Tamandua tetradactyla: one gene and its partners. The protein of the gene in region 1 interacts with the protein of each later gene in a pairwise test. Links are inferred from orthologs where the notes say so. Each region holds a gene or a part of one and is shown on either strand. Other genes may lie near its edges.

What was found. The genes of interacting proteins can lie anywhere in the genome.
Region 2: the proteins of CEP63 (region 1) and SMARCE1 interact in binary tests that used the Homo sapiens proteins (3 or more experiments, as listed by UniProt). The two-hybrid records come from large-scale screens. The link is inferred for Tamandua tetradactyla from reciprocal best matches to the Homo sapiens genes CEP63 and SMARCE1.
Region 3: the proteins of CEP63 (region 1) and HTT interact in binary tests that used the Homo sapiens proteins (3 or more experiments, as listed by UniProt). The link is inferred for Tamandua tetradactyla from reciprocal best matches to the Homo sapiens genes CEP63 and HTT.

What each region holds. Positions count from the first base shown.
Region 1 is NC_135341.1:78,281,877-78,289,058, reverse strand, and holds the start of CEP63 (centrosomal protein of 63 kDa), read right to left. Parts: upstream 3,002-7,182; 5' UTR 2,918-3,001; coding exon 2,856-2,917; intron 2,631-2,855; exon of another isoform or gene 2,608-2,630; intron 581-2,607; exon of another isoform or gene 572-580; coding exon of another isoform or gene 543-571; intron 1-542. Other genes in the region: ANAPC13 (anaphase-promoting complex subunit 13), read left to right, coding at 5,718-5,816. UniProt on the Homo sapiens protein: Required for normal spindle assembly.
Region 2 is NC_135332.1:26,726,362-26,733,886, reverse strand, and holds the start of SMARCE1 (SWI/SNF-related matrix-associated actin-dependent regulator of chromatin subfamily E member 1), read right to left. Parts: upstream 3,003-7,525; 5' UTR 2,541-3,002; exon of another isoform or gene 2,450-2,540; 5' UTR 2,312-2,449; intron 2,287-2,311; exon of another isoform or gene 2,039-2,286; intron 331-2,038; 5' UTR 286-330; coding exon 279-285; intron 103-278; coding exon 59-102; intron 1-58. UniProt on the Homo sapiens protein: Involved in transcriptional activation and repression of select genes by chromatin remodeling (alteration of DNA-nucleosome topology).
Region 3 is NC_135345.1:3,103,016-3,110,417, reverse strand, and holds the start of HTT (huntingtin), read right to left. Parts: upstream 3,003-7,402; 5' UTR 2,807-3,002; coding exon 2,601-2,806; intron 1-2,600.

The sequences.
Region 1 (7,182 bases):
ATAAGGCAATTAAAATTAACGAAATTTAGGTACCAAGATTTTCAACAAAAGAGAAAAAAATGCAAATACTAAATCAAACTCATAAAAAACAAAGTCGAAAAAACAACAGTAAAATCAAATTTACATTGGAAATATTAGTATGGATTCTATATTTCCTTTTAAAAAATGTATTTCTTAGCTCCAATGACTGTAAATCCTAGAACCCAAAACCAACCTAACAGCAAAAGCACCTCTGGCACCCAGACTGTGTGGTCTCTAAATACCATCTCCCAATAAAAGGAACAGGGCTCTTTGGAGGCCAAAAATGTATAAAATGAACCAGGAACCTATTGCACCAGAAAGCAAGGAAATTATCAAAGACCACTGGAATCCTCTAGAGGAATAGGAGCCAACTTAAAGAGGCTCCAACTGGCCAAAGGTAGGACAATTTGAGTATCAAAAAGAATAATGATTTCAATAGATTGAAAGAGTTTATATATACTTAAATCTATGAGTTCATGAGGATGATAGCAAAAAAAATTAGCAAAAACCTTCATGGTTACCTTTGGAGGTCGCTAGGGCATCGACTCATTACTGTAGTCTGAAAATAGAGGGAAAAAATTTAGCATTTTTCTTGCCTTTCCTGAACAAACTGTAATTCAGGATAATCAAATAGCTGATGAGAGAAAGTTCTTCATAAAAGTTTTCCAGCTAATAAATATAGAAGGAATGATAGAATTAGAAAACCAACATTTTGCAGTCCCTAATACAATAATGGGTACAGACAATCTGAATCCAAGAGAACTTCATCACTGGGTGACTCAAGGCGAGGTTCATGCTGGATGAATGGGTCTGGCTGACAACACCAGAACCCAATGATCAATCTTTACATCACAAATAGGACAACTCTGACACTGTGTGCCTGCATGAAAATAGCACTAAACAGGAAATACACTAAACCATATATGAAATATTCTTGTGCTCCACCCAAAAAAAATCAAAGATGAATCTGATCAAGCCTCTAGATCGGTGCTGTTCAAAAGAATTTTCTGCAATTATGGAAATGTTTTATATCTTACTATTGTGTACTTGAAATGTGGCTAATGAACTGAACTTTTAATGTAATCTTCTTCTAAGCTGGTTAGTGACCATCACACTGGACAGGGCAATTCTAGATCTAACTACCAGTTTAGAGGAAATAAAGGGAATAAATGTCCATGTTAAAGGATATCATATGGACGCAGATCTGGAATGACCAGGCAAAAGGGAGGAGAGGGAACTGCTACAGATTACAAAAGAGACTCAAAAGATACGTATTTTTTAAAGGTGCAAGTAGGTATATCAACCAAATGCAACACTTTGATCTTCACAGGATTTTAATCCGAACACACTAAACGTAAAAACACATTTATGGGACAGTTGGGGATATGTGACATGACAGTATATTGGTATTACGGAATTTTTATTGATTTTGTAGGTGTGATATGACTGTTTTGAAAAACTGAAAAACAAGAAATCCTAGCTCTTAGAGAAAAAAATAACTTAAACATAAAAATCAGAAATTCAATTCCTGAAACCTTAAGTTAATGAAGACTTTAGCAGAACTTCAAAATTAGAATGAATTCTTGATAGAGTGGCCTACTGATAACTGCCACCACTTCCACAACACAAATGAGAATGGAAAGGACTAAGCAAAGACCTTCTACCTCTTCATAGGAAGAAAATAGAATTGGTACAATTAACATACACAATTATTACAATTGTATTTTTAAATTTTTTAAATTTTAATCAGACATTTTAAAGGGTGGTGTGATTGAATGTTTATAACTCTCTGACCTAATTTTGTTTCACAGCCATTTTTACCATACCTATTACTGATAACAATATAATCAAAAGGCAAGGAGCAATCATGTTTGAGACACAAACGGAACTGAGAGTAATATAAAAAAATCAACCCCCTTTTCAGGATAATCGCAGAAAATTCAGGATAAAAATTACTCTAAAAGATCGCACCACATTCCAAATTAAGAAAATGCATACTCTTTATTATATCCTTAAGCTACACCTATTTATAAATGTAAATGCAAAATATTTTAAAGTCATGTGTAGTTGATCCTTATTTCCCCTTCATATCTTATAAAACAGATGCTAGTGTGCACAGCTACCCTACATTAAAGGTTAAAAACATTAACCTTTAATTAAAGGAATAAAATAAAATTTGTTGAATGGTTTAGGGAATCGGATGCAAAAAGCGTCGGGAACTACTACCCAGTACAAATAAGTGCTCTATAAATTAAGAGTAGTCTATCATCAGGCTGATATTGTAAGCATATAGAAAAGCCACATGATGAGCCTAAATGTACTGTCTTCCAATATTGTCACAAAGTGTTTTTAAGGAAACGTCCTTTTTAAACCCACTATCTTTATCATTTAGTTCCCATTTTTAACTCCATGCATGGAGCAACCGTTAGTTCTAGGTTTCCCACTTCAGTCCTTCACGATTTCTGCCACATTCCCGTACCTACTTTGCTAATATAACACTTATAAATTGTTACTAAATATCCCGCCACAAATGAACCGGTAACACCTCCGGTAAATGAGTCACAACAAAGGTTAGGCAGCTCTAACCAAATACTCGGGCCTGCAAGGTCTGTTGTGCGTGCTTCCCCCTAAGAAGGACAAAAGGGCGCGCGGGCGGCCCAGCAGGGAAGACAGGGACCGGGGAGCGGCTCGCCCACCGCCCCCGGCCCCCGGCCTCGCGGGAAGGGCTGACCAACAGGCGGGCCTAGCCTGCGCGCCGGGAGGGTGCCATGTTCGCCCTCGCGGATCCGCAGGGCGCTCGTAACGAGGCCGACGAGGGGGCTGCGAGAGCGGACCTGGGCCGGCGAGGGTGGGCTTGCTGGCCGGCAGGCCGCTCCGAGAGCCACTCCCCGGCCATGCGGCCGCACGGCCCGAGGCACCACCAGGCCAGGGCTCTGTACGCCAAGACGCCCGAACCCTGCCCACTAGTTCGCGCGCACAGGCGGTTACGCGGCCGCCGCGAGCGCGCCCCGAGCGCGCCCCGAGCCTTCCCGCCGTTACCTCGGGCCAGAAGCGCGCACGCGCGTCACCCCCAACCTTACGTCCTGCCTCTGTCGTCGGCACGTTCGTTCCGCCCACTGGCCCCTGACTATTCATTGAAAAGTCCTCCTGATTTCCCCTCTGCGCAAGCAAATGGACTCACCCACATCCGGAAATCTGCGAGAGAAGACCGGATGGAACACGTGATGCAGTGGTGGTGGCGTGGCGGAAACGGGTGCCGCGGCGAACCCGGTACCGGTAAGGGTAACCCGCCCTCCTCGCCCAGGTCTTGGCTACTCCCACTCCCTACCCTGCAGCGGCCGAGGGCTACGTCCTCACTTCTTCCTCGTTGTCACTGCCCTTATCGCACGCTGTGTCGGGTGAAAAGGAGCCTGCGTGGCCGCCCAGGACATGCACCACCCCTCATCTCCACATTTGGTATAGCCAGCCTAGGCCGGAAACCGCGGCTATAGGACGGCCACACGCCGGTACGGGTGGTGGTGGCCTGTGAGGGTCATTTCTAGACAAGGCAAAGTCCCTTCCCGCCTTTAGTCGTATGAATACATCATTACGGTTCTGTAAACGGCAGAAATGAATGAAATCTGTCTTTGTCTCGGGGGACGCGCGAACCACGTGTGTGGGAAGACGCATATAATAGGCACTTAATGTGACAAGCTTCCCGCCTGAAGCTATTCACTGTCCCCAGCGGGCCTGTGGGCAGGCGGGTGGCGCTCTCAGGCCGCAATTTGGGAATGCTGAGTTTTTGTGGCTGATTGGGGGTTAGCCGGAAGGAAGGAAAAGGAAAGAGCATTCCAGGCTCTGGGATTGTCACGTGGCTAGGCACAAAGATATCAGTAAAAGAAATTTGTTCTAGAAGCTACCTGTGGTTCCTTCTGTCACGTGCGGCGGGTGCTTGGGACTGTGGCCGTGTCCTGGATTCTTCCCATTCTCCCAGCACCATACGGATGAGGTCCTCCCAGCCTTAAAACTGTGTTGAATCCAAAGAGCTGCTTCTCAGCTGAATTTGGAAGGAAAAGTAAGGGTTTGTGATGGGGTTAAAAAAAAAAAAAAAAAAAAAACAACTTTAAGGCAGAGTCTCAGTGGGGCGTGATTGGAGGTATTTGGAGCAGAGACAGGTCAAAAAAAGTTTGAGGCCAAATTGAAGAAGGTGTGCTAAGGAGTGATTAGTACAAAATGTACATATAATAATTGGAAACAATAACATTTGAGTTGATCTGCCTAACTTGTTTTGTGGCTCATATGGACAGAAAGCTTACTGAAACTGAGGTGATTTGAGAAAACTAAAAACGTGGAATTTGTGTAGTTGCGGGAAAATAAGCAGCTTTGAATCTGTGGAGAAGAGTGAGGAGGGTATTCCAGTGAGCAGAGCAAAGAGGACAGTGGAGTGGCAGCAGCTCTTGGAGGACAGGGATTCCACAAGTATAACTGAAACTGGGGGCGAGGGGCCCTTGTGTGTACGTATCCTAAAGGCAGGATCTTTCAACTTGTTTTGTGTTATCCACCCTGTAGTACTGGATTAATTCTTGAGTGAAATAGGAAGATCCTTCAGGTGGCCCACTGTTGACAGAAGTATCTGTCACCTTTTGACCCTTCTCCCTCCCCAACTGCTGTAATTACTATCCAGGTATTAGGGCTGTCTTGTAGTCTTACTTTTAGGGCCAAGCACAAGTCTGTGTGAAGGAACTGAATTCTATCCCCAAAGATTGTTTCTTGTTTGAGTATCTATAGCCTCAGAAGTTGGGAGTGTCGCAGAGTAGTTCCCAAGCCAGTGGCCCCCAGGCCTTCAAGATGGCCCCTTTGTAACACTGAGCACAGTAGAATGGTGTCTGTGGTGAGGAGACAGGACCTAAACTTGGAAAAAGGGAGCCCAGAGGTACCTATTGAGCTGGCCAGTCCTTTGAATTAGATTGCAGCTGTTAGGGAGAAAAAGATGGGGAAGCAGCTATGTTTAAGGAGCATTGAAAAGAGAACAGAAAGAATTGGGAAGGAATCCCAAAGAGCAGCATGGAGTCCGGCCACTGGTGTTCACCTGGAGGTGCTCCTTTCAGGGCTCAGCCTGGACTCTGTTTTTAAGAAAGGAGGCAGTTTCATTTATAAGCTCAACTGCTGACATCTTTCTTGCTTTGAGGATTTGTGTCACGCCTATGGTTAGTTAATTTGCATTGTTCATCGTTGCTGTCTTACTTCCCTGTGTTGCCCAAGAGATTAGAACCAAGGCAGATGGAGACTTTTGTAAATTTGGTGCAAAAACCTTGAGAGGCTGGAGAAGAGACTGTTATAAGTCAGAGATTCATCAAAGGCATCACAGGAAAGGTGAATGTGCAAATTAGGAGAGAGAAATTACATTTAGATGTACTGTGGCCTTGAAGATGATACTCTCAGTTATGTCACCCTCCTGCCACACTATGAAACTAGTCCTTAACTGGGCTACATATATCCAGTATACACTATAAAGCATCCATCAGCTGAGGGTGAAGGTTGAGAGTGGGTACTGGTTTTATAAAAAATTGTCATCTAACCCAGATGAGAAGGTAAGCCTTTCCCAGGGCAGTGTGGTACCAAAATCCTAATAGTAGAATACCCCATCTCCTAAATCTCCACATTAAAGAAATTACCTTTATAACTTACAGATCTGACAAGATCAGAACTACAGGAGAATGGACAGTGAGGTACAGAGAGATGGAAGGATCTTGGATTTGATTGATGATGCTTGGCGAGAAGACAAGCTGCCCTATGAGGACGTTGCAATACCGCTGGTAAGTTATGGTTTGTTCTGAGTTGATGGCTTTAAGTATCATCTAGCAGGGCCTAGTGGTGATAGGATATCAGAAGACAGATAAACTAGTAGGGCAAAGAAATCAAAGCCTTAGAGTTCTCTAATTCTAAAAGCCTCTGGAGAGAATCTAGCCTGACTTTTTATTTGAAGGGAAATGTGGCTTAGAGAGAAGTAACTTACTTAGTTAGGGACATACCAGAACTAGAGCCCATGTTCTCTCTACTACGTCAAATCCGAAGGTAAACAAATTATGGGAGGTTAATGGGTAAGAAGGGGTAGGAAATAGAAAAGCAGCAGTGCCTCCAAAGGGCATATAAGTTATGTTTTTTACTTCTCTGCCTGTGGCTAGTCAGTCTTACCATTTTTAGAAACTCCCATCGTTGGAACATTATCCCAGGTTACCTAGAAAATATTCAGAAGATATTTGGCTTTTTTTCTTTTATGTTTAGAACAGCAGGCTCCTGAAATACTCTTTTCTTTTCTGATATCTGGAACACTCCTTTGGAAAGAATTTGTTAAGCCTCACTTAAGTAATCCAGAAGTGTTGCTTTTGTAATGCTTATTAAAAATATGATTTATGACACAGAAGTCTAACATAAAAACAAGAAGAACAGGACCTGGGGACTGTATTCCTTTAGAATAGACTAGCTGCTCTAAGAGTGGTTAACCCAGTATATTTTTCAAATAAATGGTCTACTATTGCTTATGTTTACAGGGAAATAAAATATTCAGCTAATCAGTTAAGACTGAAAGATGATGTGTTTAATGAATAATATGTATAAAGAGTCCCACTTAGTTCAAATTAAGGAAAATAGTAAAAAGATAGGAAGTAACAAAAATTAAGCTGTCATTGATTGAATACTAGTTTTAGGCCATGGAATGAGGTTGAAATTTTACATTATCTCTAATCTTTATAATAGTGCTACAAGAGAGGTGGTGTTTACACATTTTATAGGAAGGAAATAGGATCAAAGAGAAGAACTCTCCCCAGGTATGGTGGCTGATAGTGTTGGCCTTTATACTTACATCTGTGAGGCTCCAAGTCCTGTTCGGTGAGCTTTCTTTCATTCATTTATTCAACAGGCATTTGTTTAAAGCCTATTATGTGCCATAAGATAAGGTGAACATTAAAAAGTTTGTAGGACAGGCCACGGTGGCTCAGCAGGCAGAGCTCTAACCTGCCATGCCAGAGACCCGGGTTCATTTCCTGGTACCTGCCTGTGCAGGAAAAAAAAAAAAAAAGAGTTTCTGTGGCCTGAGGAATCTAGAGAGTCAACACATACAAACTAATAATTGTAAGTGTATGGATGAGTTAAGTATAGCCAGTGGCTAATTGTTAGTAAACA
Region 2 (7,525 bases), on another chromosome or scaffold:
GGGTTTTTGTATCAAGGCCAGACTTGGCTATTACATTAACAAGAAAATTAAAACTTACTGTTGCAGGAGCTGGGGTGGGAGGTGGGGCATAAGATGGTCTTTCTGTTTGAAAGAAAATAAATAACTTCTTGTAAACAACTGAGATATAATACTATGCAACAAAACTACCAATGGTCCTGTTTTGAAGGAAAAAAAAATGAGAGTATTTTGGAATTCCCACTTGCTAGGGCATTAGTCTCTTATTAACATAGATTGATAAATATAAAAATGAAACTTACTTGACATTTTGGAAGATTAAGTTCTCAGTTCCTTAAGAATGAATATGAGACACTAAAATAAAAAAAAAGAAAAAAAAAAGAAAAAAAAAGAGAATCAAAACTCAGCAAGCATAAGAGAATGTTCTCCTAAAGAATAGGGTTGTTTAATTGGTATCTTTGAGTAAAATTACTTTAAATTATCTTCAAGTAATCAAGATTTTTTCATATTTTACGCATTCTTGTAGGACACTTGGTTGATCAGAATTAAATGACTAAGAAAAATTACTGAGGATATTAAAAGTAATGTTAGACATATACTTTCAGGTCTGTTCTTATGATAGAGCCAGCGTTTGTATGGAAAACATTTTACTGTTGCCATGTAAACATTTAATCAGATTGATAAAAAGATAATGACAACAGAATGTGATGAACTATCAGGGCCCACTGGATACTGACAATTCTCCTGATCAGCAGGTTATACTTTTGCTTTTAAGATAACTTTCATTAAAGTAGCACAGCAGTTTATTCCTGGAGGCAGTGCAGAAGGTAACTGGTACAATAATGAGCCTTAACATTCTCTAATAAAGGTAAATATCTTCATAACTGGGAATAAATTTTGAGAATCTACCTGAAAACCCTTCTTTATCCCTCACAACCCATTTCAAAATTTATCTCCTCAATGGAGCTTTCTTGATGAAAGATCTGGGCAGAATTAATTGCTCCCTTGTCTGAATTCCTTTCCAGTTTGCAAATATCTACCAATTGTTTATTTATCATATATATATATTTTTTACCTGCCAACATGGATGGTGTGCGTATTATATGCAGAATACTTGGCAAAATTCTTCATAAGTTTTGCCCTAGTATTGCCAGCTCATATGACCATACTCACATGAGCTTGTTTCTTACATCAACATACATCACCAATAACGTAGTATGAAGAAACATTCATTTTTAGAAAAAAGGCAAATCAACTTCTATGACCACTGGACACTTTCATCCAACATTAGGTGCAACAAACATGTTTGGTCCTAGTGTGCATTTTAGGGGAATCTCCTGGGGTATAAAAAATAAGAGGCCTAGCATATAGAAAGATAAACATTCAATGGCCCAACCTGAGTCTGTTCTTCCTTCCCTTAAAAAGAAAAGACAGGTTGAAACCACCGACTCTGGTGCAAATTTTCTTCCTGCTCTCATTCAGGGAGCTGTCAATACCCAGTAGGCCTTGCTGTGAGAAGCCCTGATGATAACTCCACAAACTCCACTTCATTGTTAATACTTTAAAATCGCTGATCTCTCTTGCTAGACTATAAGTTCTAGCAGTAGGGTTGTACATCTGTCCACCACTAGATTCACCCCGTGCCTGGCCCATGACAGATACTAAGCATTTCAGAATGAATACCTTATACGGGACAGACTTATTACCTATATCAGACCATCTCGTTCAACAGTCGCAGTATACAAGACGTGTACTGCTATCCCTATTTTACAGATGTAAAAAAGGAAGGCTCAGCGACTTGACGTAACTTGTCTAAAGCCACCCAGCCAGTAGGTGCCAGAGGTAGGTTTCAAACCCAGGCCAGACTGTTTCACAGCTTTTGCTCTTCGCTCCAAGTCACACAGTGGGTCCTCCTCATATTGCTGCCTGAACCAATGAGGACCACCTTTCTGGGGGTAGAGTACGGGCTTGGCTTGCCCCGAGGGCTTCCTCTGAGATAATTTCCTTTAAGTCTGTCGGGAAGGATGCACTTCACCAGCAACATAACTAAGGCGGGGGTGGGGGATGGTGGCGGGGAGCGGTGGGTACGCTCTGACGCTTGGACCTGTTGTGAGGAGGAGTGGACGGGGCAAATTTCACCGCCGAGGAAAAGCCCCAGACGGAACTCCCATCTTCGCTTCGCTAGGCCTCAAAGAGCACAGAATCGGTCCCCAGCCCTAGCCCCTCAGCCAAGCCTGAAACCCCAGCAAGCCCTGAGAACTCAGGGTGCAGCCAGGCGGAGAGACAGAGACTTGTCACCCTCCCGACCCGGTCAGGCCCAGTTTGAAACACTCACCCGCGGGCAGAAGGAGCGCCCGCAGCTCCGGCTAGGCTTCCCTTTGTCCCACGCACGCCCCGCCCCTCGCGTCCGGAGCTTCCGCACTCGCACTTTCGACACTTTTCTTAATTTCTCTCCAGCTTTCCCCCGACTCTCCTTAGAAAAGTAATCCTAATGGTGAGGGCGCGGGGATACTTAGTGCCATCAAGAATTTTTTTTCAGGCCGCATTAGTTCCTCAAAACTCACGAATTTCGGTATTTTCTCGGCTAGGCGCCGATTCGTCACGACGGAGAGGGAGAAGTTTGCCCGACCACGGGATAGGCCGGGATTTCGCGGTCGGGAGGAACAGAAGCGGCTTCGGCGACAGGTGACGCGGCGGGAGCTGCAAAGCTGTGCCACAGGGAGGTGGGGGACGTGGCCTCAGCAGCCACGCTTCGAAGACAGCGGGAATCGCGCTAAGGCGTGAGACCCCGGAACCACCGTTGCCAAGTGGGCCGCGCCTGGCTGGGGCCGCGTCCGTCCCCGCCCCCGTGTTCCTCCCCCACCCTCCGCCCGGGTCCTCTTCCTTCTCTCTGGGCAGGAGCTGTGCATCTTAGCACGCCGAGGGTGGAGGCGGGAAGGACTGGGTTCACAGAATTTTCCTTCTCACAGGCGCCTCGCACGGCTTTCTACTTTAACAGCCTGGCATTATCCTTGATGAAAAGCAGTATGGAGTTTTTCAGTTATCCAAGCGCTTTTATGGTGTAAGTGCCACAGTTCCCCGAGGCAAGGCCCGGACGCGGTAAGCCGCGCAGTGTCCCCGTTGCCACTAGTAACTGCCTCAACCTGTCTTGGTTAATTCGGTTCACTCAGCCGGGAACTATTGTCGCCACTTTAAGTTTTAACCTCATTTATCCTTCCGGATGCGGCTCACAGGTCACTTTGTGATGCCCTACTGAAACTTTCTCCCCAGTAATCCTTTTTCTGTGCACCCATGGCACAGAGAAAGATAAAAAAAATTATAAGATTAAAAGCTTATCATTATTTGATGATAATTTTATTGTAATCGTCCACCTGACTTTTTCTTTTCTTCTTCTTCTTCTTTTTTTTTTTTTTTTTTTTATCAGTTTGTATTTAACTCCAGCGCATTACGAGGGCATTGAAAGCAAAGGTCCAGGCGTCTGCATCAATCATCTTGAACTATTATTAGATACTCAGTAAACATATACTCAGGCAGATTTCTAATCTAGTCCAGGGCTCTTTTCACTAAATAATGAGTAAATTGGCTTACCATGTGGCGTGAATAGCCCCTTCCTTGTGAATATAAATATCTATTTTTGCTGATGTTGTGGCCACTGTGGAGGAAGAAGGAACAGATGGGATCCTTCCTTATCTGTAATTACTTTGAAAACAGTGTTGCCATTAAGAGTGTATGAATTCTTGCTCTGCTCTCAGAATCCACACTGGGTGTGCTGGCAGGGACCGGGCATCTCTGGAAGGCTGCAAAGCCAGGGACTCATGAAACTGTGCAATTCTTCCACCTCTAATAATTTTATGTTAGTGACTAAAGATCAGTGAAATTGAAGATGTATTGAAAGGAAGGCTTAAAGGTGAGGGCCTGGAAGGATAGATAACAAGCAGCCTGAGTGGTGCTTGAGATAATATATATAAATTGATTTTTTAATGTAAAAGCATCAGAGACATGTAAAGGAGTATTCTGAGACACATGAAGCCCATCCCAATGTCTTGTTTCTCTGGCCTTGACCAGCAACTCCGCCTGGTTTCTTCACTGCCTTTAGGATTATAGTCAGGGGATTGGGCAGGTATAATGCTGGGACAGATGTTCAATTGTATTATCTCTAAGCAGGCCTCTGAAGAAAAATTGCAGATGCTGGATGTTAGAAACAAAGCGCACTGTAGTGTGAGAACGGTGGCACAAAAATGGTGGGAAGAAAAAGGAGGGTATCTGGGTAGAGCAGTGACATTGACTGATCACTTTCTTACCTCCTGGTCTTTGCTCAAACTGACCTATTTAAAATTGCGACTTGTTCCCCCACCCCCCTACTCCTTATTTATCATCTGTGCTTAATTTTTTTCTACAGTACCTATCACTGCCCAATATACTGTATTTTTATGTAGTTATTTTTGTTGTTGTTTTTGTCCTTCCGTTGGAATGAAATCTCCTTGATCAAGGGTAGAGACATCTATCTGACTAATTTTGTTCATTGCTAAACTCTGATATCTGGAACTGTGTGGGGTAAATATAGGTGCCAATATTTGTGAAATGAATACATGAATAGCTATTCAGTTTTTCCCCCTTTAGTTCTTTCTCTCTTGAAGATTTACAAAGTTAAGAAAAGAAGAAATAGGCAACAAAAGATAATAGAAAAAAATATTTTCCTAGTCTTGAAGAAATTAAGGCTGAAGAGTGAAATATCCAGCAAGGTGGACTGTACTTAACACTGACTTTTATAGGCACTAATAAGTCCACCATTGTTATAGGCAAATGGTGGAATTTGCTCATTTTCTCAGCCGTTTCTGTGAAAGCAGGAGTCACAGGAATTTGTTTTCTATCGCTGGAAGTAATTGTGAAATGTTGAAGCCCTGTAGCTTTCAAGGACAGAGTAATTCACAATGTTCTATAGAATTTGACAAAAAATGTGGTATGCTTTTACAACTTTCCTTATCCCCTCAATACCTTGATTTGGGGCATGATTTTTGATACATGATTGGAAAGAGATGAAAATATTTGAAAATGGAATGGTGCTAGTCCTGGGAAATCTGGGGTCGGGGTCTCTTAACCACAGATAATCCACAAATATCTGTTGATCTTATTGAGAATCTAGGATCGGGTTCAACAGACTACAGCTGCAGGCCAATCCGGGCTGCATCCTATTTTTGTAAATTGTTTTATTGGGACATAACCATGCCTATTCATTTCCATATCGTCTGTGGCTCATTTGGGCTACCAAGGCAGAGTTGCATGGTTCCTACAGGGACTGCATGGCCCGCAAAGCCTAAAATATTTACTGTCCTTTCACAGAAAAGGTTTGCTGACTCCTGGTTTATAATTTAAGAGTGTGGGAACATTGGAAAGGACTTGTCCTGATTTGCACATATGCCTTATTTTGAAATGTTTATTTTTAGTATGTCCATGAATATTGGAAATCTTTGTGAACCTGCTGGCCATAACTTGTTAACATAGAGCCAAATTCTGCCTTGTGTACAGAGATTCCTTTGATTTCATGTGTTAATAATATCAGTAATTTGTATATACATATTAGTTAACAAAGTTTAACTTTGGTCCAGGTGCCATACTTATTTCTATTTGAAACTTTCAAATTAATTTAGTTTTTTTTTTTACTTTAGAGAACATTTTTGTATTTTAAAAAGTGTCATGGAAGAAGTTTAATTCACTGGAAAAGAACATTTCCTGTCAACAATTGAAGAATTAGAACTACTGTCTTTATCTATGTTACTTATCATTGCCAGCTATAATTGTCCTCACAAATTCTTTACTCCCAAAGACAATTTTCATCCACATAGTATTGTATATTTGAGTAGTGCTTTACAAAATATTTTCATATGTGTATTATTTCAGACAACTCTGTGATGTGGGCAGGGTAGGAATTATTATCAGGTATCACCTTTTCCTTTGTTTTCGGGTATACAAATTGAGGTCTGGGGAACTTAGAGTGATTCCCTCTTGCTTATATGGCTAACTAGTAACTGTAGTTAACCTAGCCCTCTAGAACCTGGGCTAGAATTTTACAATGTTAGTAATCGAAATTAACTCCTTATTATATTTTGTTATGGAAGTGTGCATTTGAAATATTTTAGCGAGATGGAAGAATATTAATTTCTATTCACTTATAAAATGAGGATAATATGTGCCTCATGGGACTGTTTTGAGGATCAGAGATTATGTTTGAGCCCACTGAGCATGTGCCTAGAGCATAGTACACACTTTGCAAATAGTATGCTGTTGTTATATTTTCTCCAGGACCATGGGATTTCTTTGATTTTTTTTAGGCTGAAGTACCAATATATCATTCTTGTGTAAAAACCATTATCTACTATGATGGAATTTTTCTTTTGTACTCAAATGAGCTAACCATATTGAAGCAATTGATTCTTTGTTTTGCTTAGACATGCAGAGATACTTACTTTGTGTTTTCTTTTGAATGGGCAGGCACTGGAAATCGACCCGGTCTCTGGCATGGCAAGCAAGAACTCTGCCTGCTGAGCCACTGCGGTCCCAGAGATATTTTTGAATTAAAAGAAGTGTATGAAACTCAAATACAATGCAGCTTTAGAATTCAAGTTTAATTTTTTTTATCTTAGTGGTATAATTTACTTTGGCAAATTCATATTCCAATTTAAAATGTCTCAAAGCAAACAAAACGTTGTTATAAACTCAAGTATTGTTAAATGTACCTGTTATACACACAATAGCTGCATAGTGGAATTACTATAATAAGCGGTTACATTCATGATGTCCAGTTCTAAATTTTTAACACTGCATGAAGATTACACTAGACATACTGCTTTATTACAATTACTGTTGCTTAGTATAGTAACTTTAGTACAATAGGTTTTATGATTGCATTTTTTAAACCTTTAATAAAGTTAGTAGCATTTAACGAATACTGAATGAAAACAGTTGTGTGTATAGAATGTATTTTAAGTCAAATACTTAGGCAAGAATAAGCTCTTAACATATCTTTGACAACACAAATCATTTCATATTTACTAAAGATAATAAGTCAGGCTTAAAGGAGTCTGAAGTCATTGAAAGAAAATTTAAAATTTTATATCCCTGTAATATGTTAAGGGTTATTTAACATAATTTTCTTCTCGTTAAAACTTACATTATTTTTCTGGTTGAAATGAAACTAAGAAAGAGAAGGCTGTATTAGAATGCTGACTTAACTTTAGCCCTTAGATGATACTTTAGCTGGAAAATAGAATGGCGAGTTGTACTCAACTAGTTTTTCTGCTAGAAAAAAATTGATAACCTATGAATTTCTGATGTTTTAAAACAGGTGTTTATTATTTAAGGTCTTAAAATAAAAATACCTTATTAAACAAATTAATAAGTTTTTTTAAAAACTTTGCAACAATACTTCACTTATTCACAAATATATTTTCTATCCATATATATTACAGTTTGAACAATTTAAAAACACAAATCCTTCAGATATTCTTAGTGTACATAACAAGACTGTTGTCTTAGTTCATGTAAATGATTG
Region 3 (7,402 bases), on another chromosome or scaffold:
ATGGTTTGCCAACCCCCAACCAAAACCACCCCTGTTAATCCTAAAGAACACCTAGGGTTCTATCTGAGATTCTACAAAAGTTTCATGCACTAAGATTACTTTCCAGAAACCTACAACCTCCAGAGGGTTCCTAGGCCAGATAGGTCCAGAGGAGCCAGCCTCTCCAAGAACATGAGCTAGTTTCATCTCCCTATTCCATACTGTCAACACCCCTTTCCACATGAAAAAGTTAGAATGGGGATAGCCCAAATACCCTAAATTGGGAGAAGGATCAAAGGAGAAGATGGAGTATAACAGAGAAGATAGAATTAAACAAATGAGTATGATTGCTGAATCATTATATTGATATTTCTTTTAGTTTCCAATGCCTTGGAGCAGCTAGGAGGAAAATGCTGATATTATGGAACTGTAACCCATACCAAACTTTAAAGTCTATTCTATAACTACCTGTTACAATGCACTTTGTAATTTATTACTTTTTTGCATATATGTTATATTTCACAATTTAAAAATGTTTTTAAAATGTAACCGAAATAATAGAAGTGAAGAAAAAAGGTTACTATTCTAAAATACTTTTGTTTTGAAGAATTTAAAGTCTATCTTAATTTACACATAGAAGGTCACACAAGAAAGTGGAACAGTGCTTGTGTGTGGGGTCATGTGAGGTACTTAAGAGAAAGGGGTAGGAGAAAAGCATTTCAATCATTACTCTTTAGTAATTTTGAAATTTTTATTGTATTAATATATTACCTGTGCAAAAATAACAGATTAAATGAATCAATTTTAAATGAACCAATCAGGTATTACCTTAAAATAATGAAACTACCTACTTTGACGGCCAGCTTTAGAAGGATACCACTTGATACCCATATTTTGAAAATAAGCAAATTCAGGCTATGTCAAATCAGTGTACAAAACAGAAGGCATACTTTTAGTTTGACCCAGTGTTCGAACAAGACACCAGAGGACAGCAGGAAGGACTTCCTTCCCAACCCCAACCCTGCTTAGTGTTTCCCGATACAAGCAAAGTACAAATTTCCATGATACCTACCTCCTAGAGAAGCAATAAAATAAAAGATGGAAATGGATTTGGTTATAAATTACCTGCTACAGTGATAAGGCAAACTGTTTAAAAGTTTCCTTAGATACCCAAACAAGTTTTCACTCTTCAGAAGAAGGAATAAGTAAATATTCCTGTCCATCCTATTTCCTCAGTTTCTAATGAAACTCTCAGGACACAGAAGGGATCATATCAGAAACAGAAAGTGCAAGAAAACTTTACTAAAAATGAATCAATGAGGTTCTTTAAGGGGCTGCGTCTTGAAAACTGTACCTATTAAATGCCATCATGTGTACACATTCAGGTAAGAAATAAAATGCCTGAAGGGTGCTCCCTAACCTCTGTTAATCGCTAAGAGCAGAAAGACTTCCTGGGTTTTCTTAGAAGGTGTTTCTCTTCTTCTGGTTCAAAAATTCTCCCCACACACAAGCAGCAGAGATCCCTGGCTTACAGATAACACAAGCCTGTCATCAAGGAAGCTCTTTCACCGGCTTGCAAAAGACATCCCTGGAGTCTACAGACACCCCAGGTTCTACAAGCCTGAGGACAATACCAGCGAAATGTACACCTCATTCACCCACCCTCAGCAACGTGTCCTCTTTATTGCCAACAGAAAACAGGTGATAAACTTCAGCCAACTTTTCTTAATATTTAAATCAACTTTATTATTTCTCATTTGTTAATAACCATCATCTAATTACCTCATCACTTACTTGGCAACCACAGTTTAATCAAATGTCTGCAGACCCACACCTGAGCTTAGATTAGCAGGCCTGTTCAGTGACGCTTTAAACCACGTCGCTACCACTAGGACTCAGGAACTAAATGAAATGTCTTGGGAATTTGGGAACAGAGACTCAAGTCGGGCTCTCTCGAGCACCACTTTGAAAAAGGCTCTCCCATTGGACGACGTCCTCAGTCCCCCGCCTTCCCCCAACCACTCCGGCCCATAACAGCATTATGTCATCCACTATCCCCGCATCACCCCCAGCTCCAAGTCCTGGCTCTTCTCGAACGCCTGCACCCACAGCCCTCCTCCTCTCAAAGTCAGAAGAGAGAAGGGAGGAAGCCAAAAGGGTCGCAACCTGCGCTCTTCTAAATTCCCACCATCAAAACACAGCCGCGCAACCCCCCCTCCCCGTTTCGCGCAAAGAAAAACTATTTCATTCCCTAACTCTTGGCATCTGGGACAAGGCGAGAGGACTGGGGCCTTGGCCCCCTCGGTGAATTCGGGAGGAGCCCCAAGAAACCGCTACCTCCCTTCCCAGAATGACGGAGAGCCCAGCGGGGGGACCCGGAGGGGACAGAACATGCTAACCCGAGGCCCGGACTCGGCTCTCCCATCAGGAAAGCGCGAGTTTCTCTCTCCCGGGAGTTACGCGCCCGGGCTCGGGGACAAGGCTGCGCCGCCACCACCGTCGCGGCGGGGTCAGGGGTTGGCCGGCGACACAGATGCTGCTGCCCCCAGGCTGTCACCGGGAGGTCCCGCCCCGGGAGGGGAGGCAGCGGCAGGCCCGCCGCTCCGGGCCCCGACACTCACGGTCGGTGCAGCGGTTCCTCAGCCACCGCCGAGCTGGGCGGCAGCGGCGGCGGCTGCGGCTGCGGTGGCGGCTGGAGCGGCGGCGGCTGAGGAGGCTGGGGCGGCAGCGGCGGCGGCGGCGGCGGCGGCGGCTGCTGCTGCTGCTGCTGCTGCTGGAAGGACTTGAGGGACTCGAAAGCCTTCATCAGCTTTTCCAGGGTCGCCATGGCGGCCTCCCGTCCCGCGGGGCAGCCCCCGGAGCCCTGGGCCCGGCTCGCGGCGGCGGGGCGCCTTTCAGCAGTGAGGTAATGAATGGGGCACTGGGTCGCAAGCTGAGGGAGAACGGAGGATCTCGGCCATCTTAGAGCTGTCCCGGCAGCCCCCGCGGCACGCTACGTCCCGCGACGCTGCCCGGCGGAGGCGGGGACAGGCCGGACGACGTGATTGACGGCCGGGGAATGCAGCCTCTGCCAATGGCGGGTCCCGGCTCGGCCCACCACGCCCGCAGGCGCGCCCCACTCAGCCGCCGCGACGCCTGGCTCCCCCGCGCCCCGCCCCTGGGAAGGCGGGGCCCGGCCTGTGGGGGCGGGGAAAGCGGGAAAGGGGCTGAGCGCGCCAGGAAGGGGCGGTCCGGGGGCAGCGAGAGAAGAGGTGGAGGCGGCCGGAGAAGAGCGGTCGCCGGCAGAGGAGAGAACAGGGCAGGTGGCGACCCGGGACGCGTCGGGAAGAGGCGGAGAGGGGCAGGGCGATGGGAGCGGGCGAGGGGTGAGGTGGGAGGGGGCAGCGACGAGCCGGGGTGGGGCAAGGTGAGGGAGGGAGCGTGGAGGGGGCGGGAAGGGAGGCGGAGGCGTGGAGGAGGGTGGAGGGAGGAGGAGAAGGGGAGATGGGCAGTCCCGGAGGGCGCTAGGCGGAGGGCAGGGGCGCGGCGGGGCGAGGTGGTCCCGCGGCGGGAAGGGGTGCGGGGCCAAGGGGGACGGCGCGCGCGAGGGAGGGTTCAGGCAGCTGGGGTGGGGGAGAGATTGTTGCCCGTTGGGCGGCCGGCCCCGGGGAAGGGCGTTCCTGGGGCTCCCGGACAGGCGCGCGGACACTGTCCGATCTTCCCCGCCAGGCTCCGCGCGGATGGGGTCTGGGGGGTGGCAAGCTAGTAAGAAATGAAGCCTTGAGTAGTAACCAGCTTGACCAGAGCACAGACATTAAAGGTCAACAGACCCACCCCTGAAAGGGTGAAGAATGTATTGTGAAAGCATTAAAACTCCCGTTCCCTAAGCGCTGTAGGTAACCAGCTCTCCGGAGACTGCTGACACCCCTAGGTAACTAAATTTCAGCCAGACTCAGCTGGACTTTGTAAATTGCTCCCTTCCTCTTGTTTGTGCAGGTCACTGATGTGCTCATGGGGAAAAATCTTCTAAGTCCCTAATTAAAATTCATTGGTAACTCTTTGTCTAGTGTGTTCTTTGGTCTTGATGTGGAGTTGGGTTTGAATATTTGGCGAGCCAGCCAGGAAACCAAAAAGCTGCAAGATGAAAGGCAGAAGTACTGGGAAAAGAGACTTCCCAGGATGGCCTGCAACAGGCATGTGGAGGCAGGTGCGTACTGTTCTGGATGAATGGGAGTCGCGGAAGAAGTATGGAGGTGCTTGTAACTCCCCAGCTGGACTAAAAATCCTGCTGTAACAGGCCACAGTACAGTTGGGATTTCATAAGAAAAAGGAAAGCTGCTGGGCTGCTGCAGCTGTGGCCTGGCTGTTCTTGGAGGCCATGCAAACAGCTATGGAAGAGGCCTTGACAGCGGAGGGGTAGTCACCCCCTAGAATAGGAACCTAAATTAGACATGGATGGGAGGGTGGTCCAAGTGGAGAGGAAAGATGCTTTAAATGAGAGGCTATGCCAAGCAGATGAAAATTGGAAATATTAGCATATTGTTGCACTAGGGTAAGGAGGAAGAAGTTACATAAGGTTAAGTCAGAACCCATCTGGGCCAGCAAAAAAATACATGTTACAGTGCAAGATTCTACCAGCTCTGAATTACAAGAGATTGGGACTTAGTATAGACAAAAACCTAAAGAACTTTTATCAAATTGGAAACTGCAATTGTGGGACACTGGTGCCTATGGTTTACTGCTCTCTGGGCATGAGATGAGTAAATTGTCCTCTCTCACCACCTATCTTTCTCTGTGTCGATGCATGTATTCATTTGCCCCCAAAATGGAAACAAATTTGCTATTTAATTGGCTTATATTACAGTACAGAAGGTGTGGCCCATTGAGGGGGATCTGCCCCATTGCAACCCCCACTGGAACACCACTGATGAACTACACGATGTATTAAGGGAGCTTGGGATGAAACATGCAATTTAAATGCTGGGTGCCATTGGACCAGAGAGTGTAATTTATGCTACAGGAATTAACAAGACAATTCTACATACTGATCCCAATAGTGATAGGGGACTTTGGTGCCCACTTATAGGACAGCCCATCTCACAGGCTACCCAAATGATTGCACACTTGGGAGAGACAGATCGCCTAAGGCAGAGGGGAGCTCAAGTCAGAGCTATGGGTCAAATCCCAAGGGGACATGATGGTCTGAACCAGGTGTCAAACAGACAAATGTAGACATACCTAATAGATGCTGAAACTAAATTGAGGATATTGATGGGCAGCCAAATGGAGTATCAGTTGGACTGTGGAGCAAGTGGTCCAAGGAGCAGAGGTTTACTAAGCTTGAAACCAGGTCACTAGAGGAGAACATGGATTCTGGCTCAAAGACTCAGCCAACACCACCTAAAGAACCCTCCGCCCCCTGACCCAGGAGGTCTGGAAGGCCCCCTTCCCCCTTGCATAGGAGATAGGTCAAGATCCCCAAGAAAAATATATGGGGACACTGGGGATCAGAGGCCACATATAGAAATGACTCCCCCACTAATGAGCATAGAGTTTTGGGCTTAGTAGACAATGAAGTGGAATGTACCTTAATATATGGGCAACGGCCACAAACTGGGAGCCCTACACTAACCATTGCTGGATACATGGGCGAAGGCATTGAAGCAACTCAGCAGCAATTATTAATGCAAGCTGGCCAATTACCACCTCAAACATATATGGTATACATATATCTCCTATCCAAGAGTATATATATTAGTAATTGATATCTAGCAAAATATTATCTTGCAAAGTACCATAAGTGAATTCTGCCTCTGGTGCTGTACTGGTTTAAAGCTATTATGTACTCCCAGAAAAGCCATGTTCTTTAATCCTCATTCAGTATTGCTGGGTGGGATCTTTTTTAATGTTTCCCTGGAGATGTGACCCACCCAGTTGTGGGTGGTACCTTTTGATTAGGTGGTTCCCATGGAGATGCATTGCCACCCATTCAAGGTGGAGACACTTACTGGAGACCATTAAGAGGGAACCATTTTGGAAGAAGTTTCAGAGCCAAGAGAATCCACACAGCCAAACCTTTGAAGATGCAGAAGGAAAACACCCCTGAGGAATCCTTATGAAATGAGAAGCCAAAAGAGAAAACTAGCAGACGTTGCTATGTGCCTTCCCAGCTGACAGAGGTGTTCCAGATGGCATCAGCCTTTCTTGACTGAATGTAACCTCTTGTTGGTGCCTTGATTTGGACACTTTCATGACCTTAGAACTGTAAATTTGCAACTTAATAAATTCCCTTTTTAAAAAACCATTCTGGTTTTGGAATATTGATTCTGGCAGTTTTAACAAACTAAAACAGGTACAGAGTGGTCCAAACATCCTGAGAAGATATGTTAAGTAGTCACAGGTGAAAGTACCTTCCCCCAGAAGCACTGTGGCACTGCATTAGTGTAAGTTGCCCAGGGGCCATCAAGAAATCACTGCCACTATTAAGAAATTACAAAGAGTGGGTACTATCATTTCTACTCACAGCCATTTTAATTGCCCTATCTGGCCAGTAAAGAAACCTGATGGAATTTGGTGAATGATAAATGACTATAGACAACTAAATACAGTAGTTCCTCCTTTATTTGCAGGTGTGCCAAACATTGGTATTTTGTTAAAGGTTGTAAGTACTCAGGCCAATTTCATTTTGTATTAACCCTTGTTAATACCTTCTTCAGTGCCTCTTTAGGTCTCTCCAGCCATTTGCATTTGCCTTCATGTGGGAAGGACAACAGTGGACATTTATTGTGTTGCCCCAAGGGTATTTTCATAGTCCTACTATTTGTCATGGTTTAGTTGCTCAAGACCTGAAAACATGGAAATCCCCTGAAAATATAACTTTTTTCCATTACATGAATGATGTTATGCAAACCATTAACTCTTTTTCATAACTAGAAACCTCTGCTAACCTAGTGGTGACCCACTTTGAAAGCTGGGAATGGGTGGTAAGTTGAAATAAGCTACAGGGACCCAGATGCTCTGTCAAATTTTTGGGTATTGCCTGGTCAGGTAAGAATAAAACTATTCTGCTGCTGTTGAAAAAGTACAGAACTACCCCACTCCATACACTGTTAAGCAGTTAATGGCTTTTCTTGGTTTATTGGGATGTTGAAGACCATTTATATTTCATTTGCCACAAATTTTAAAACATTTGTATACTCTGGTTTGCAAGGAAGGTTTGGGGAATTAGATACCCCACAGAAGGCTGCTTTTGAAAAGTCCAAACAAGCTATAGCACAAGCACAAGCTTTAAGGGGGCTGGGCCCAGACATGCCTTGTTAATTGGATGTGGCCAGTATCAATTATTGGCTTTGGGTGGGGTGTGGGGCAAAGGCAACAGACAAAATGCGTACCTGTTGGCTTCTGGTCTCAGCTATGGAAAAAGGGAGCCAGAGATACAGCCCTC